Caenorhabditis elegans: one gene and its partner. The protein of the gene in region 1 purifies or fractionates together with the protein of each later gene. This does not show direct contact. Each region holds a gene or a part of one and is shown in the gene's direction. Other genes may lie near its edges. The genes, in order: C39B10.4 and ufd-1.

Evidence for each region.
Region 2: the proteins of C39B10.4 (region 1) and ufd-1 fractionate together in Caenorhabditis elegans (co-fractionation; one large-scale study listed by BioGRID). This does not show direct contact.

What each region holds. Positions count from the first base shown.
Region 1 is NC_003284.9:10,443,102-10,446,128, forward strand, and holds C39B10.4 (uncharacterized protein), read left to right. Parts: upstream 1-1,903; coding exon 1,904-2,105; intron 2,106-2,171; coding exon 2,172-2,338; downstream 2,339-3,027. Other genes in the region: C39B10.3 (RAB6-interacting golgin), read left to right, coding at 1,068-1,284, 1,329-1,573.
Region 2 is NC_003282.8:12,328,629-12,332,715, reverse strand, and holds ufd-1 (Ubiquitin fusion degradation protein 1 homolog), read left to right. Parts: upstream 1-1,825; 5' UTR 1,826-1,841; coding exon 1,842-1,919; intron 1,920-1,940; exon of another isoform or gene 1,941-1,946; coding exon of another isoform or gene 1,947-2,006; intron 2,007-2,067; coding exon 2,068-2,205; intron 2,206-2,254; coding exon 2,255-2,466; intron 2,467-2,536; coding exon 2,537-2,997; intron 2,998-3,064; coding exon 3,065-3,204; 3' UTR 3,205-3,308; downstream 3,309-4,087. Other genes in the region: F19B6.1 (Uridine kinase), read left to right, coding at 1-59, 610-958, 1,001-1,135. UniProt on the Caenorhabditis elegans protein: Functions at a post-ubiquitination step in the ubiquitin fusion degradation (UFD) pathway. In association with npl-4.1 and/or npl-4.2 and ATPase cdc-48.1 and/or cdc-48.2, involved in the cytoplasmic elimination of misfolded proteins exported from the ER.

The sequences.
Region 1 (3,027 bases):
CGATAATAGGTATTTTTCTGCATCTCTACTTTCCAAATTTCTATTTCAGTATTTTAAGTGGAGTTTTGTTTTTCGGGACTAGAGTACAAACGAGAGTTTATTTTTTGTCCTAGGATTTGTAGGCCAGATCAAAATTTCATCAGTAACAGAAACCTTGATTTTAATTATTTTTAACGGTCTACATTTACCTTTATGCTATCTAACAAATCATGAACATCTTAAAATTTGGTTTCGAAATTCAAATTATGCAGAAATTGACATTAGAGCGCCGTTGCAACTACGAAGGACGTGATGTTTTGTAAAAATTTATCACATGATTCATTTTTTCAAATATGCATTTTCAGGAAAAACTACCTTAGTTGAAAAGTTTTCATGCCAATTTTTTTGTGGGTTTATTAATCTAGTTGCAAAATTTAGTTTAATTTTTATTCTTTGAACATAAGAATAAATCAAATATACTAGGGATATAGAGAATTTCCATGTATCCCGATAAAATTAATAGTATTAAAAGATAATGCTACACAGCTCATCTCACAATTACTTACTCACGCGCTATTGGCCCATTCTACCAGAAAGTTTGTTGTCATCCCTCCAAGTGTTGCTCGTCTGTTGTGAAATATACTCATAACTCCTATCCAACGTCTTAGCAACTGCCGTATAATCACAATGATGATGACTAATCAAGAATGTGCAATTCATACAATACTCGGCGAATAACTCGTTTGAGTGTCTTTTAGACTATTCTTTTTGTCATTATGTTTATCACTAGCTTCCTGCTTAAGCTCGCTTGTCAAATTATAGTTTCCTGTTTTATTTACACCAACAACACAATTTTTACTTTGTTGGTACTGTTCTTGTTCTTTCTAAAACACAATTTTAATATTTTCATTTCCACAAAATACATTTTGTTCAGAGGGCTGAAACAACATAATAACATAACATGAAGTTGAACCAATAAACAATTAAACTTCATAGTTAGAAACTAATAAGGACTACTTTTTTTCGTTATTTTTCTCATTTTTTACGCCAATTTATTTGCAGAATCGCTTGGAAGCAACAAAACTGACATGAATGAGAACGAAGAATACCAACAGCTATTGGAGACGAAACGGCTCCAAGATCTTGACCTTCAGCATCACAGAGCCGAAATCAGACGCAATACAGATGTAATACAGTCCATGGAAGAACGCGTCGCCAGACAGGAAGAGATGCTCACGTTTTTAGTAGATGCGTCCAAGAAATACGATGAGGAACTTGAAGAAAAGCGTGATGAGAATAAAAAAGGTTAGTTTTACTTCGAGCGGAGAATACTGAAATTCAAATTTCAGCGACAAAAGAATACGAGGAGTTGGAAAAAGTGGCCGCTAACTTGAAGGAAATTATGAACCCCGGTGCATTCATGACTGAGCATGGGAGTCTTGCAACTTGCAGCTCAGCTACTGAGGTCAAAAATATTTCTCAAACCACACCTCAAACGGTAAATAAGAAGACTGTTACCAGAGGACACAAAAATAATCGTACCGGAAAGGAAACAATTGGAACAAAGCAAACAAATTCTGTTGAAACATCATAGTTAGTTTTTGAATATGTGAAGCAAGTCTAAAAGCTAGTCAAGTAAATGTTTTGATTGAGTAGTTTTCAAAATATTTAAGATTTTGAAATGTGACTGTCACAAAAACTATATAATGCCTCTCATTTACAGATCACATCTTCTGGCGGCATTGTTTATCTTTTGTCATCTATTTTGAGACTTTAAATTAATTATGATCAACATGTTTCAATGAATGATTTTGTTGAGAGAATATTTTTATTTAATATATTGCTTGAAGACGTTTTGGCGTTTATAGCCCTTCTCAAAAATTTTTGTAAACCTACCCGAACCATGAAATTTTTATTTTAAGGAATGTCTTCTGATCAGGTGCTGGACGAAGCTTCTCTGAAGGAACTTGTAGACAGAAACGCCGTTTTGATACAAGAACAAACTGAGTTTATCCAAAATCAGACGATCACAAAATACAACTTAGCAAGTACGCTAGAATTCCAGAAACGAAGGTTGAGCTTGTACTCTGATACTATTCACCTTAAAAGTGGATGTCTTTCACAAAGTAAGATGCTTCTAGAATTTTGTAAGTAGCCTTAAAAAAGTGTTGAATTAACTTTCTCCTTTTTAGGGAAAGATCAGATTGGTAAAGAGCAAAACACAATCAGTACCATGAAAAACTCTATTGAGGCTCGAAACCAACGTTCTACCGATGGAATGCAAAGTTCTGGTGGAAAAAGTTCGAGTGAACTTGGTGAAAGTTCACACAAAAAATTGAAGGTTTTCTTTCACGATTAATACAAACAATACTAAATTTTGTTGCAGAAATAAACCGTCTTCCATAGGTACAACATGTTCAAATGTTATCCTCCCATTTAAGATTCGCGTTCACTAACAACTTGTTCTTCAATATATGCAATCAAACGTGTTCTTGGTTTTTTGTATTATATTTCATCGCCATTTTTTTATGAGACGAAATTAATAAATTGTGAAAAATTTCACGAGTTGAACAAATACTTTTGAAGTTGAAGTTTTATCTGTTTCAGCTTTCGTGATCGAGGTATATGAACCGAACAAAGACTGCAGAGAGCCATGTTCAAACGAGATACATTTTTTTCACACAATTCTTATTAATTTAGCAGTAGATCTTGAAGTATGTAAAAAGTATGCGGAATGCATTCTAAAAACTTCGGAATTTTTGGTGCGACTCACTGTAATCAACTTTGTGCGGGTGCCCAATGTATTTTATATTTATAGTCCAGGACGCCAAGTGTTTATCTATATGCTCATTTTTAGCTCACTCGATTATGAACGAAAGACACATACGCGAGGGCTATGCGGCAACCGGCAACTAAGTTGCCATAGAAACGACATTTACATCCATTTCCGGATTCTACAGGAAATTACATTTTTCATAACGTCCAAATTGGTTTTGAATATCTGAAAAAAAATTTATGAAAAACAATTTCAACTTTTGTTTTGAACTG
Region 2 (4,087 bases), on another chromosome or scaffold:
GAATGCATGAATCATATGCCTTACAAAGATGTTGAGATTGAGATGGCCGGCGGTAGAAAGTGAGTAAATTTGAAACTGAAAAATGGTCACTGCAAGATTTGAAAATTCCTTTTTGAAATCTGAAATCAGCGCCAACCTTTCTGAAATTTCTGAATCTGACTGCAAAAATACGGTACCCGGTCTCGACACGACAAATGTTTGTTAAACAAAAGTGTGCGCCTTGAAATAGTACTGTAGTTTCAATTTCTTATCACTGCGGATTTTTTGTTTTATTTTAAGTTTTGTTTATGGTTTCAATCAAGTTTTTTAATACAGAAATAATTTTTATAGAAAAACTACAAAGAATCAATAAAAATTCTGCAGTAATTTAAAATTACAGTAATCTTTAAAGGCGCTCTTTCAGCAAAAAATCTGTCGAATCGAGACCGGCTACCGTATTTTCGGCTTAAGAATTGCAAAGTTTCAGATCTTGGTTTCGGATATTCGGATATTAATGTTCTATTGTTTCCAATATAAGAATAAACTTTTTCTAAATAAAACTTGAAAACTAAACAATTGAAAACGTCTAAAATAGGCTCAACCATCTAGAAACTTTAATTTTTATTTCAGAACTATTGGCAAACGAAAGGACGCTCAGATTTGTGGTCTTCCAATCATGCGAGCCGGCGAATGTATGGAGACTGCTCTTCGCTCAATCGTCAAGGACTGCGTGATCGGAAAAATTTTGATTCAAACCAACGAGACGACGTTTGATCCAGAACTTCATTATATACGTTTGCCACCACACATAACTCGATACAAAGTTATCATTATGGACGCCACCGTAACTACTGGGAGTGCTGCGATGATGGCAATTCGTGTACTTCTTGATCATGATGTTAAAGAGGAAGACATATTTGTTGCATCTCTGCTTATGGGTCAACAAGGTGCACATGCACTGGCTTATGCCTTCCCGAAGGTTTACAATTTTTTATTTGAATTAAAAATTATTAATTTTCAGGTTAAATTAATCACCACCGCAATGGACCACCAAATGACGGAAAATTGCTATCTGATTCCCGGAATGGGCAATTTTGGTGATCGATATTACGGAACCGGGCTCGAACAAGACATGGACGAGCCATTCGATATGTGATCATCTGTTATCACAAAAATGATCAATTTTCTTCATAATTTATCAAAGTTTCTGTTTTCCTTCCATTTCATCTGATGAATTCCTACTTTCTTGTTCCTTTTCACTAACTTTATTATTATAATTATAATTATTCATAATGTTCTTTCTTTCCCATCATCATATCCATCCTTCTATACATTTTGTTTCCATTTGTTGTTGAAATTTTATATGCTATTTCATTTTTTGTCGTCCTTTTTTTCCGTTCTTCATTTTATTGACTTCTCTTCATGATTTCTGGCATTCAGCTCGATAATTCATTTATACCCTGTTCTTTCTAGTGTTTTTTCGCGTTGTTTGTGACGGTTAAATTCTTCCCTCTACATCTTTGCGCGTTTCCACACAAAAATCTGTACACGACATTCGGTTTTCTCGTTGTTCCATTTCTTTTTTGTTCAACGGAGCGCGTTTGTCGTTGCAGGAATCGGTTTTAATATCATCATCCATTCACGCATTCTCTTTTTCATGTTGTTCATTGTGTTTTTCTTCAATTTTTGTCAAGTTTCCTTCACACGTGCATTTTAGTAATTTCTTTCTATAATAAATTGCAGTTTGTTAAATATTTAAATGATCAATGAGCTCTCTTTTCTTGGTTGGCTCATCCTCTTTGTATTTTTTGAATTATAGTTGAAGAAAACGTTAATAACTTTTCAGAAAACCAAAAATAAAAATGCAAGCGTGGATACAACAAGGACTTCACGGGATGCAGATGGGCGGCCGAGTCGGGAATTATGATCAAACTTTTGTGGTGAGCTTTTAAAATTCATTTCGAAAGATGTTTGCAAACTTTTTTCAACAACAACTTCGCCGAACTACTCGTCATTTCGATCTCATTGTAAATAATAAATTGGATTTCAAAGATTATATTTCAGCGTTAATAAACAATTAAATTTCAGGTATATGGGCCCGTATTCCTTCCCAATGCAACACAGTCAAAAATAAGCGAAATCAATTATGGTGGAAAGATTCTTCTGCCGTCATCTGCTCTCAACTTGCTCATGCAATATAATATTCCGATGCCAATGCTTTTCAAGGTTTGTTTTGTATAGCTTGAAGTAACTAGAAAACCATTAAAATTTACAGCTAACCAATATGGCTGTTCAACGTGTAACTCATTGCGGTGTTCTTGAATTTTCTGCTCCAGAAGGACAAGCCATTCTGCCACTTTGGATGATGCAGCAATTGGGACTTGACGATGGAGATACCATTCGCATTGAGTCTGCAACTCTTCCGAAAGCCACGTTTGCTAAATTGAAGCCGATGTCACTCGAGTTTCTGAATATTACTAATCCAAAGTGAGTTTTCATAAACTCTAATAATTTTTTGAAGTTTTTGAACAAAGTCCTATATTTTTCTATTTTTCAGAGCTGTTCTTGAAGTGGAACTTCGAAAATATGCATGCCTCACCAAAAACGATCGGATCCCAACATCATATGCTGGACAAACTCTCGAATTCCTCGTCGTTGATTTGAAACCGGCCAACTCTGTGTGCATCATTGAATGTGATGTTAATCTCGATTTCGATCCTCCAGAAGGCTACGTTGAACAACCGAGACAGGTGACTCCTGCTGTCACTGCCAAGCCGCCTGCGCCAGATGCATCCGCATTTATTGGAGCTGGACAAAAAGCTGGTGGTAGTGGAGGGACAGGACAAAATGCAACTTCTGTATTCGGAGGAGCTGGGCGTCGTCTCGATGGAAAGAAGAAGCCATCATCTTCAGTATCACTCTCAGATGGAACCGGTGTTAGTACGAGTAATGCAGCTCCAGTGGCGAATGATTTGCCAGCTATTCCACCAGTGGTTGTCAATGAAGACTACAAACCAGGTAATACTTGTTTCATCTGAAATAAACATTTCAAAATAATTGAAAAGTTAAATTTTATGATTTTCAGGTCGTGTTTCATTCCTTCGTTATGATTATAAACGTGTTGATGTTCTCGAAAAAGAGCTCCGAGAGAAAGAAGCCAGCAAGGCAGGACAACCGTCAAATGTCTTCCGTGGAGGCAATCGAACACTGAGAGGAGCCCGTTAATGTCTCGAATCTGGCCAATTGTGCTATGAATAACATCTTTCACTTCACATAACCTTGTAAAAGTTCATCGCCACTTTTTTGTACAGGATAAATTTATTTGAATATATTATTCTTTGATAAGTGTGATTCAGAGATGAAATTGAAGGAGATCTCCGGAGAAAAAAATGAAATAACTAATATTATAGAACTATTCACTTGTTACAAAAATGCCTTGTAAGGTTTAAAAAATTGCAGAACTTGTTTAGATCATAAATTCTGGCTAGCGTCTGTGCTTCCGAAAACACACAAATGGACTTTTTCAATTGAAATTTTTTTGTTGAATCGAAAAATTCAATATTCAAGGAGCTCGGCCATGAAGCTGATGAACCTTCAGCGATGTCAGTGATGGGTGGAGTGGTTTCTTATCCAAACTTCTATGAATGAAAAAACCTGGAGAAAATGCTGTTTTGAAAGCCAACTCTATTTTTTGCAGAAAAAGGTCCAAATAGTCGATAGCTTCACAAAAGATCACTCGAAAATAGTCAAGATTCTGCAGGAAAAAGTCAAGTCTCAATACAAAAATTACATCTACAACACCAAAAAATCATTAAAATAAATACTAATTTATTGATACGGCGAAAGAATCGAATAAAATACAAAAAAAAAGAAAGTAGGATAGCTGAAGCAAATCGAGAGAACGGAGAAACAAATTATACGAGTTGGGATACAAACATAAAATACCATAATTGCCTACAATGGCTGGATGTTGAAGATTGAAGAGGTGGATCAGTTCTTTGTCGGAGTTCTCACTCCAGGAGGTTTGAGCTCCTTCCACTTACGAAGCATGAATGCTTTCGCATTTCTTGAGCATACCTGAAAAAGCAAAATAATCCAACTTTCAATA